3 linked regions of the Arabidopsis thaliana genome follow. The protein of the gene in region 3 purifies or fractionates together with the protein of the main gene of each other region. This does not show direct contact. Each region holds a gene or a part of one and is shown on either strand. Other genes may lie near its edges. The genes, in order: LTA2, E1 ALPHA and RPT2b.

Region 1 (3,754 bases), on a different chromosome or scaffold from region 3:
ATCTTTTGTCGGCAGATTCCACATTTCCAATCTCCGAGACCAAGATGAAAAATGCGAGAAATGCGATGATCATGGCAGTTGATGCTTATAACTCGTGGTAGATATATACAATCCTTGTGGAACATCAAATTACATTCAAGACATACATAAGGATTACGCTTACCTTCTACGCTACATGCATTACAAGTAAATGTGACCACTCTCGGCAAAAGAGTAAGCATATGCATATGGTTTTTTGGGTGATAAATACTTGATGGTGGTGGATCTTTAAGACATTTGAGATCCATGTTGATGTTGCATATCAAACAATGAAAAAAATCATCAAGAAGATAATCTCTACAAAAATGACAATGGTCACCTGCATAGCCCAATGCCTCGAGTGTGTAGATTTTGAGAGAATGTTTGCATGGAGATGGATGCAGAAGTGAGCGCTTGATGCATTCCTTATGCCCCCAAAAATAGCACTTATCGCAGAAATAGCCAAAACCACCTTTCTTTTTGCACAAAATGCAAGAAAATCTGTCCAATTTCTCATATGCTAAAGGATGATCGTGAAAAGGAAACTTCTTTTCGGTCATGGTGAGTGTGTGGGGATTGGGTGAATCTAGAAAGCATAAATTTCAATCAAAAAAAGAAAAGAAAAGAAAGAAGAAAGCTTCACTTGAATATTTCTCTTGTAAGGCCTCTTCATTAGTGATCCTCATTGTCATTGATAGTCGTAGGCATTTTTGTTGTTCACTTGTGTTGTTGAAGTCTTCCCCTCCATTTAAAAATATGAGTAAAATTGGGCTGTTATTTTAGTTGTGGTAACCAACTCACATTTAGAATTTCAGAAAGCTAAGATTTCAATAATGATGTGTATTGTAAAAGGTTTATATACTCGGCTCTCCCAAATGTTCTAAACAATAGTTTGGGTTTCGTTTTTCCCAATTACCAAACAAAATTTTAGATATATGTCCATTTCGGAACGAGACCTTGTCTTTACCGTATTCGTCTCGGGTTTCTAGTCCCATATCCGCTCGTATAATTAATTGTTTTGAGACAATGTAATGCATTGAATATATATCAACTTTTATATATACTAGGTGATCATCCGCACTGCGCTACAGAGTTTTCTATATATTTGTACATACAAACAAACGTGTTGGTCATTATATGCCATTGTTTCTTCTAATAGTTCTCACAAATGTTTAGGCATTGGAGGATAGAAGAACAAACGAATTAGAGATATCTAACACAACAATGGTGTGGTCATCTGATCAGGTTGATTAGAATATTCATGTGGCTGTTCATACGGTAGCTCGTGCTCGCTTCCTTCTTCTCCTCCATGGCCATTGGTGAGATCTTCAACTTCGAGAATCTCAACCCTCCGTTTCATCTTCCTTTGCAGTTTTAATGCAACATCGGATGGTCGAAACCGTCCGCAAAGGATTACTTGACGTTCCTTTTTGTTGATCATGTGTGTATCAACTTCTTCATAAAAAAGTATCCAAAACATGTGTTAGTATTGAATTTTCTATAAATCCACCACGACTAAACCTACATAAAATGGTGCATATAGTAACATCGATAAAATTTAACGATGTCTTTCTAAAATTTTCAGATTTTCCACTCAAAAAATCCTCCTTGAACTTTAAATCTTATTTTCATAACATCCTTCTTTGCTCATTTCATCCACATATTATTTTATATAACCAATATAAACCAACCTTTCATATTGATGATAATCCTCCTAGCTTTTCTACAACAAGCATTGCAATCCAAGTTAATCCTCATCACAACACAACATTGCTTCTGCATTTCACCACCCCAAAAAAAAAAAAAATTATCACAAATCCAAGAAAATTATTGTTCAAACAAATAAAAGAAAACACAAAACCTTTTCCGACATGAGACGAAAGAGCAATATTGTATGATATGTTTTTGGTTAAGAAAACAAAAGTATACTTATAAATTAAGATTTTGGAATCTGATTCTCTAACTTAGGTAGAGCAGAGAAGATATATAAGAAAACTGGTTTTGTTATGTTACCTAATATCCATTGAGAAGCATCTAAATTTTCTTTGTTTCTAGATGGTTTAACCTAAACCGAAGTTTCAGATAAATTAATCCGGTTTAATTATATATCCGGTTATTAAACTGGTAACTGATACAAATGTAGGCGAAGACGCTCAACGAACTTCAACCTCGTCTTCTCCGTCCACTTCACTCTCTCTAAACTCTCTCTCAGATCTCTCTCTCTCTGTGATTCAACAATGGCGGTTTCTTCTTCTTCGTTTCTATCGACAGCTTCACTAACCAATTCCAAATCCAACATTTCATTCGCTTCCTCAGTATCCCCATCCCTCCGCAGCGTCGTTTTCCGCTCCACGACTCCGGCGACTTCTCACCGTCGTTCAATGACGGTCCGATCTAAGATTCGTGAAATTTTCATGCCGGCGTTATCATCAACCATGACGGAAGGCAAAATCGTGTCATGGATCAAAACAGAAGGCGAGAAACTCGCCAAGGGAGAGAGTGTTGTGGTTGTTGAATCTGATAAAGCCGATATGGATGTAGAAACGTTTTACGATGGTTATCTTGCTGCGATTGTCGTCGGAGAAGGTGAAACAGCTCCGGTTGGTGCTGCGATTGGATTGTTAGCTGAGACTGAAGCTGAGATCGAAGAAGCTAAGAGTAAAGCCGCTTCGAAATCTTCTTCTTCTGTGGCTGAGGCTGTCGTTCCATCTCCTCCTCCGGTTACTTCTTCTCCTGCTCCGGCGATTGCTCAACCGGCTCCGGTGACGGCAGTATCAGATGGTCCGAGGAAGACTGTTGCGACGCCGTATGCTAAGAAGCTTGCTAAACAACACAAGGTTGATATTGAATCCGTTGCTGGAACTGGACCATTCGGTAGGATTACGGCTTCTGATGTGGAGACGGCGGCTGGAATTGCTCCGTCCAAATCCTCCATCGCACCACCGCCTCCTCCTCCACCTCCGGTGACGGCTAAAGCAACCACCACTAATTTGCCTCCTCTGTTACCTGATTCAAGCATTGTTCCTTTCACAGCAATGCAATCTGCAGTATCTAAGAACATGATTGAGAGTCTCTCTGTTCCTACATTCCGTGTTGGTTATCCTGTGAACACTGACGCTCTTGATGCACTTTACGAGAAGGTGAAATTGAATTGAATGAAACAGATGAAGCTGATGTTGTATTGAATGATGAAGCTGATGTTAAATCACTGCTTTTGTTTACAGGTGAAGCCAAAGGGTGTAACAATGACAGCTTTATTAGCTAAAGCTGCAGGGATGGCCTTGGCTCAGCATCCTGTGGTGAACGCTAGCTGCAAAGACGGGAAGAGTTTTAGTTACAATAGTAGCATTAACATTGCAGTGGCGGTTGCTATCAATGGTGGCCTGATTACGCCTGTTCTACAAGATGCAGATAAGGTAAGCATAAGCAATAAAGTTGTAGAAAATAGCTAGCGTGTGAGTGAATTAACACACACACTTGGTATTATTAGGCTGGTTTCTTTAACTGAATGTGTGAGTCGTGTTGGTTGTTTTGATAGTTGGATTTGTACTTGTTATCTCAAAAATGGAAAGAGCTGGTGGGGAAAGCTAGAAGCAAGCAACTTCAACCCCATGAATACAACTCTGGTACTATTCTTAACGAATTGTTTAGATGACAAACATGTGAAGTGTGTTTAAGGATTTTGATTTAAGGGATATATCTATGGAATGCAGGAACTTTTACTTTATCGAATCTC
Region 2 (3,754 bases), on a different chromosome or scaffold from region 3:
TGTAATCCATATGATAGGAAAGAATAAACACAGGAAAATAAATTGGAAACCAAAGCTACTACTTATATGAACAACAGCGATATCAAAAACACACTTCTTTGATATACACTGATACAGCGTAATTTCTATTGCAACTGCACAGAAAGAACCAGCCACCCCATCAATATTCAGCTACTGGAATGCAGTGTCCAAAAAGAGGAACTGAAGGGAAGTAAATATCAACTAAAAAATGCAAAAGGAAAGATTAATACTTCACGTCCTACAGGACAGCTAGATATTGCTCATAGCAAATTTACAAAATGCGCCAGATGAGTAAGGACCAAAGGGGAAAAAAACAAAACGTCTGATAATACTAAAATACAAACTTACTATTGGCCCCTTCTCCAACGCATGCTGCTTAGCAAATTTGCAAGCTTGTTTGACAGCAAATGCATCCATACCATCTACCTGTTTATCCATACAAACCAGCAACCGGTCAAACTCAAAAGAAAGTTGCTAACTTGATGCAGGTTACAAGAAACCTAATAAGAACAAGGTAATGATGCACACCATATCTCTGTTAACAATAGAAGATTCATGACAATCATTATCCATAAGACAGTCACATTCATCTCTAAACTGAGAGGTTATAAATGAAAGCTGAGTAGTAGTAAGTTACTTAAGACTTGCATTCTACCTGTTTCTATATGGAAACTAAGAAACTTATATCATTCAGGAAATGACACTAATCCATCTACCCAATCAAAACTTCCCTTTCTCATCTTAACAAGCCTCACACATCAATCCTTGTTACAAATAAGATTCAAAAGCTGACCTTGAGTCCAGGAACATAATCACCACGCTTGTAGTAAGATGGACTCTTAGCGGCTCTCCATTCAGCAGTTCCCATTCCATCTGCACAGATCAAATTCAATCAGATACTACGACAAAACAAACCTACAAAGAAAGAAAGAAAGAAAGAAAGAAGCAAAAATGCTTACAGTGATTGTTCTCGCAGACCAAAATTGCAGGCAAATCCCAAAGAGCAGAAATATTCAAAGCTTCAAACAACTGTCCCTGATTCGCAGCACCATCACCATACAAAGCAAATGTGACAGCCTCTTCCTTGTTATACTTCTGAGCAAAAGCAATACCACAACCTAATGGAACCTGAGCACCAACAATCCCATGACCACCGTAAAACGACGATTCCTTCTTATAGAAGTGCATAGATCCACCTTTCCCTTTAGAACAACCAGCTTGTCTTCCCATAAGCTCTGAGAAAACCTCATGAAGCGAACCACCACGACCTAAGAAAATACAGTGATCACGATAAGCAGTAATAATCGCGTCTTTCTTTGTAATCGCAGCTTCCATGCCTATAGCTACAGCTTCTTGGCCGTCGTAGAGATGACAAAACCCTCGGATTAGCTTCGCTTTGTAAAGCGAATCGGCTGCGATTTCCATACGTCGCATCAACGCCATGGTTCTGAAGAAATCGAGAAGCTCTTGACTCGATGATTCGACGGAGCGTGACGGTGGATCACATAAGTGAGCTGTGAAAGGAAGCGAAGTCTCGATTGTGATCGGAGTTGTGTCCGTTGAGATTAATCGGCTGAAGGCGGCGGAGAAGGGACGAGTGATGATGTTGGATCGTGATGAGAGGCGTGATAGAGCCATTTCTCCGCCGTTGATTCGAAGATTCTCCGGCGAATCTGTTGAAAACTTCGCGTAGGAACTGAGAGGACAATTTCAGTGAAGCAGTAGATAGCGATCCTAATATAAGAGACTCTGAGAGGATAAGAAGGTTTTCCGTACACAGCCTCACGTGAGTCACGTGACACCTGTGATAAAAGAGTCAATATATATTCATATTCTCTTAAAATCATATTATATAATCAAACTCAAATGTGATTAAAGATAAATAACCAAATGGATAAACCAAAATAAATAAATAAAACATGTGATTAAAGAGATTATTAATTTGAAAGAGAATTTAACATTAGAAGGAAAATTCAATAATTGTTCAATGAATGAATTAAAAATATCCAATTTTAGCATCATCCTTAAAAAAAAAAAAGATATTCTAACACTATACAGCAAAACTGGCGGCTCCAGCTGCAGTGTAGACTGTAGAAGATAAAAACTATGGTTGTTGCCATGTGAATCTCTTTGAGCCTAAAATGATGCAAGAATCTTTGTCAAAGACAGTTATTCTCTAGTCTCTCTCTACTACTACTCATTCTTGCATATCTCATTCTCAGCAAAGAACTTCACACCTGCACAATTTATCGTGAGTTAGAGATTATTGATGATTTGCAGTATTGATCACCACAGGCAAATAAAAGACAAGAGGGTTACTTACGGCGTTCTTGAGTTAAGGCAAGGCGACAAGTCTGCGGTTAAGACTCATGTGAAAGCGCGATATTCGTTTCTTTCTCGAGAGTTCACTACTATCAGAGGTTTTAACATTTTCAGGTCCAGTTGGATTCAGTGTTGCTTTCTTCTGCTTTCTTCTATATAAAAGATCTGCTGTGTGTGGTTCATACTTGACCTAATGAAGATTGTAAACTCTCATCAATCATATATACATGTGAAAAGAGAAAAGATTATCAGTGCAAGAGATTCACAAGAAAGTATTTTACCTTGAAAGAACTGCAAGCTATCTTACATTCAACCTCATTGATAATGTTCAATCCTTCCAAGGCACGTGACATCCCTAGAGATTCTTCACCCGGACCACTTAATTTTGCCTTGTTCCTGAAAAGAGTATGCTAAGGTGATTACTAACTGTACTACCACAACTGAAGACGAAAAAAGGTTATGCTCTAATCATTGCTTCATTCACCTTTTCAGAAATAGTCCGGGTTTCTCTTCATCACTGACAAACGAAAGAAAGTCATTCTGCAGATAATTAGCAAAACCTGGTTCCACTGTTACAGCTGTAACTTCAGGCTGATCATTCCAGCTGTTCATAAGTTGAATTCCGAGACGGGTTTGGGCAGATGACTGCACAGAAATTTGCAAATACAGATTAGTATATGGGAACATATAAACAGGTATCCACACATATCAAGAGAAGCATACATATTCAATCCTGTATATGTTCTGATCATGGAGAAGGGCTCGAGCATTCTCATGGTACACTATATCAAAGAATCTTCCTGGTTTTCTGTAGTTCTCGTATGCATATAGCTGCAGAAGCTTGGTGTCTGTCTCATCAGCTGCGACTGCGTGAAGCTGAAGCATGTCCAAGCCACTTAAATGATTAGTGCGGAGCAAACAAAAATAAAGGAGAGAGAACAGAAGCAGAGTCAAGACGATAACAAGGTAAAATGGAAGCTTACATGCTTAACAAACTTTTGAACTAGCTTGTCCAATGTGAAGAGAACATATGATTGTGCTCCGATAATAGCTCGACATTCATCTTCAAACTTTGTATTGTCGCTAGAGCCATCAAGTAAATTGTAAAGGGCTTCCATGAACCTAAGCTTTCAAATATCAGTTAGGAAATAATATTTTTTCAATTAAAAAGTACCAATGATGCTTAGAAAATAAACCACCTGGTATAAGAATCAGTAGATGTGCTATCTGGAGCTTTCCATTTCCTCTCTGAATGTATCTTTGCTGATTGTATTCTCTCGTACAACATCTGGAAAATCAGCAGAATTAGCGGTTTGGACTGAGACAATTGACATTTGAGGAACATGAGAAGGTTGTTTCGTAGCACTTACTTGATGAAGCCTAAAAAGCACATAGAGTGAATCATTCCCAT
Region 3 (3,754 bases):
TCCTGTTTGTCGCGAGAATAACCTTAACATCTCCTCTTGAATCAAACCCATCAAGCTGGTTCAGTAGTTCCAACATGGTTCTTTGGATTTCACGTTCCCCACCTGAGTTTGCGTCATACCTGTTTCAACCACCATTTTATATCACATATTAGATACCATCTCTTGAGCAAAATCAAGAACATTGTTTATCAATGGATCATGTTTATGTTGTATTTAGGCATACCGCTTGGTGCCAACAGCATCAATCTCGTCTATGAAAACAATAGAAGGAGAAAGGTCATCAGCAACCCTGAAAAGTTCCCTCACAAGCTTGGGACCATCTCCTAAATACTTCTGAATCAGTTCACTACCGACAACACGCAAGAAAGTAGCTGAAGTAGAATTTGCCACTGCCTGAAAGAATAACAAGAAATAACACTTGCTCATCTCCAACAGTTCCGAATTTAACAAGCATAAGAGACACATTAAAAAGAGGCACACTGCAACAATCCATGCTTGCGACATAGACAAAAAGAAAACGAAGACATTAAATCAATCCACGTGACTCTGAAAATCTTCCTCTATCTACACAAGTACTATGATCTAATATCTCAATTCTAGGTGATCAAACCAAAGAAGCCACTGTCCTGACTAATTCATCTTTCTAGTGAAGATTGATAAAAGACAGAAAATTTTGCATGCATGACTTGACATAAAACCAATCATACTTGGGAAGTACCATTATGTGCTGTATTAAGCAATTAACAACTAGAAAGCTTATTATATAATGGATACACTATAGGCTAAAAGACGAACCTTAGCAAGCAATGTCTTCCCAGTGCCTGGCTCACCATACAAGATCACACCTTTTGGTGGCTTAATTCCAATATCTTCATACAGCTCGGGATGTGTTAAAGGTAACTCAACAGCTTCCTTAATCTCCTGAATCTGAGCTTCTAAACCTCCAATGTCAGCATATGACTCCAAAGGAGCCTTCTCCACTTTCATCACAGACACCATTGGATCCACTTCATCTTGAAGAATCCCAACAACAGAGAGTACCTATCACAAAAATAATAAAAAATATCACATAGAAGAATTGGTTCAACGTTTCCATGGAAGAGCATTGTAAAACTCAATACCTTGTTATGCATCAAAATAGAGCAGCCAGGTTCAAGCTGATCCTTATCAACGAAAGACAAAATGCCAACGTAGTACTCAGGACCAACCGAAGAAGAAACAATGGCGTGATTCTCATCAATAAGCTCTTCAAGATTGCCAACACTCATAGGTGTACCACGAAGATCATCAACTTTAGATCTATCTTCCTCAGCTTTCTCTTCCTGAGGTTTCAATCTCTCCTGATTCGCTACGAACTCTTCCTCCATAAGCAAATAGTCCTTGATTCGCTCCAATTTCAGCAATCGAAGCTTACATTTAGTAGAAGGAGTCACCGTCGGCAATCTCGCCGCCGCTTCAGGTCCTTTCTGCTTCCGTTGCTTCCTCCCTACACGAGCAGGTGGTGCGGCTGGTTCGAACTTCTTCTCCTTCTTCTCTCCACCATCTGGTTTCCGATCTCCTTGCCGATTCAATCCGCCGGAAGGTCCTTGACCCATTGTGCTTCGTCTCTCTGAGGTTTCTTGCTCTCGGAGAAACAAATCTTTTAATCTGATAACGGGAGGAGATGATTAAAGTGGGCTTATTATTTTAGGCCTTTTTACGATGTGAAAAACTTAGTGGGCCTTAGGTATCGCAAATTTTTTTAAAACTGATTCAACCTAAGCTATTATCTGGTTTAGTTCAATAACTCGGTTTAATTATCTTTAATTTCGGTTTAAGTTTTGTAAAAGTCAATTCGTTGGTTTGGTAGTTGGTACGGTCAATCGGTACAGGTAAGGAACTTTTCTTTTGCCATTTGGGGAAATCGAATCAAAAATCAATTTCATCGTCTTCTCTATCTGTCATTCATCATCATCACAATCATCATCATCAAATCTCAGGATCTTCGAGGTGGTTCTTCTGTTTCGCAACTAGCTTCTAGATTGTGATTTACAATCTTCGAACTCTCGGTGAGTTTCTAGGTTTAGGGTTTTATCTCTCTTTACACGACAATTGTTATGGCCAATCGAGAAAGAGATCGAGAGCTTCTGATTCCCGTCGCTGATTTCGGCGACAAAGACGATGGTTCTTCTTCGAAGCCTTCTTCTTCTTCCTCTGCTTCTTCTTCGCATCAATCCGGCCACGAGGTCTAGTTTTTGTCACCTGATCTAAAAACGTGTTCTTCGTTTTCTCATTTCAAGATTCATGCGAAACTAACAGTAGAATTGGATGATAGTTATTCATAGATTTGGTCGATTCTGTCTCCCCTTAGTTCAAAATCTTGGAACTTGTTTTGCCCTAGATTCAGTATATCACAAGAACACTTGCTTAGATAAGTTTGGTAGTTGTGATTGAGTAGAGTATGAATTTGCATTCCAAGTTGTTGTGGTTGGAATCATTCAGATTCTTGAGTCTTTGTATTATGCTCATTCATGTTTTCAAGCATGTATAACTTATAGAGCATTGTGGCCTGATGCTTTAGCTCTTTTCTGCAGACTTTAAGCTTGTTCATTAGGGGTTGGGCGTCAAAGAAGTTCATGACAGGCTGGTAAGGAAGAGTTGAAATTTTGGCATTTGATGAAAACTTCCACAGATTAGTTTTAAGTCTCCATTGCTTTTTGCAGTGTTATCCTACTTCCTATTGCAGTTACTTTCTATACAACATGGTGGTTTATTCACTTTGTCGATGGATTCTTCTCTCCAATATATGCACTACTTGGAATCAACATATTTGGTAAGAATTTGAATGGCCCCTCTTTATCCTATTAACAACTTGATATCGGTTTCCCACAATGAGTTTGATTATTGTTTTGTAGGTTTCGGTTTTTTGACTTCCATTGCATTCATCTTCTTGGTTGGGGTGTTCATGTCTTCGTGGTTGGGGGCATCGGTTCTGAACTTGGGAGAGTGGTTTATCAAGCGGATGCCATTTGTTCGTCACATCTACAACGCCTCCAAGCAAATCAGCACTGCCATATCGCCTGGTCTAGCTTGCTTATAAAAATCTTGTTTTGCTTCTCAACATTAAGTTGATCTCCTATCTCATCTTGTTCTTATCCATTTCTCATCACAGATCAAAATACACAAGCTTTCAAGGAAGTTGCAATCATCAGGCATCCCCGTGTAGGTGAATATGCATTTGGCTTCATTACATCAACTGTTGTTCTCCAGGTGAGTGAAAATACTTTGCTCAAGGATTTTGTTATTCTTTCCAGAACGTCTCCTTGAGGATACAAACAATTTCGAGTTATATGGTTTACCATAATTTCGTAATCTTTTTACCCAATGTAATAATGCTATTCGTTCTTGCAGAACTACCCAACCGAGGAGGAACTTTGCTGTGTATACGTTCCCACGAACCACCTTTACATTGGAGATATACTACTTGTCAACAGTAATGACGTTATCAGGCCAAACCTCTCTGTCCGGGAAGGAATTGGTGAGATTTCAGAATCTAATTGTCTATACTAGATACATTTATCGTTTGTTATATAGCATTCAAATTATTTTGTGGAAAGATACTGAACACTGTATACTCATTCTTCATCTGCAGAGATTGTTGTTTCCGGGGGAATGTCAATGCCGCAGATTCTATCGACTCTTGATAAACCTTTGGCCTCGATTGGAAATGAATCTTAAAGTGACTATTCAAAAACCTTTGGCCGATCGATAGGAA

Evidence for each region.
Region 1: the proteins of RPT2b (region 3) and LTA2 purify together in Arabidopsis thaliana (affinity purification with western blotting, with the first as the bait; one study listed by BioGRID). This does not show direct contact.
Region 2: the proteins of RPT2b (region 3) and E1 ALPHA purify together in Arabidopsis thaliana (affinity purification with western blotting, with the first as the bait; one study listed by BioGRID). This does not show direct contact.

What each region holds. Positions count from the first base shown.
Region 1 is NC_003074.8:9,458,377-9,462,130, forward strand, and holds the start of LTA2 (2-oxoacid dehydrogenases acyltransferase family protein), read left to right. Parts: upstream 1-2,056; 5' UTR 2,057-2,255; coding exon 2,256-3,158; intron 3,159-3,242; coding exon 3,243-3,434; intron 3,435-3,556; coding exon 3,557-3,644; intron 3,645-3,731; coding exon 3,732-3,754. Other genes in the region: AT3G25850 (Cysteine/Histidine-rich C1 domain family protein), read right to left, coding at 1-578; AT3G25855 (Copper transport protein family), read right to left, coding at 1,232-1,473, 1,710-1,794, 1,880-1,891. UniProt on the Arabidopsis thaliana protein: The pyruvate dehydrogenase complex catalyzes the overall conversion of pyruvate to acetyl-CoA and CO(2).
Region 2 is NC_003070.9:22,049,273-22,053,026, reverse strand, and holds the start of E1 ALPHA (pyruvate dehydrogenase complex E1 alpha subunit), read right to left. Parts: upstream 1,895-3,754; 5' UTR 1,660-1,894; coding exon 981-1,659; intron 895-980; coding exon 815-894; intron 448-814; coding exon 370-447; intron 1-369. Other genes in the region: SNL5 (SIN3-like 5), read right to left, coding at 2,357-2,533, 2,625-2,739, 2,828-2,988, 3,067-3,219, 3,327-3,465, 3,543-3,631, 3,714-3,754. UniProt on the Arabidopsis thaliana protein: The pyruvate dehydrogenase complex catalyzes the overall conversion of pyruvate to acetyl-CoA and CO(2).
Region 3 is NC_003071.7:8,690,577-8,694,330, reverse strand, and holds the start of RPT2b (AAA-type ATPase family protein), read right to left. Parts: upstream 1,765-3,754; 5' UTR 1,596-1,764; coding exon 1,122-1,595; intron 1,042-1,121; coding exon 796-1,041; intron 394-795; coding exon 224-393; intron 120-223; coding exon 1-119. Other genes in the region: LCV1 (uncharacterized protein), read left to right, coding at 2,097-2,225, 2,574-2,626, 2,703-2,812, 2,895-3,062, 3,152-3,249, 3,391-3,517, 3,632-3,717. UniProt on the Arabidopsis thaliana protein: The 26S protease is involved in the ATP-dependent degradation of ubiquitinated proteins. The regulatory (or ATPase) complex confers ATP dependency and substrate specificity to the 26S complex. Acts redundantly with RPT2A in the regulation of gametogenesis.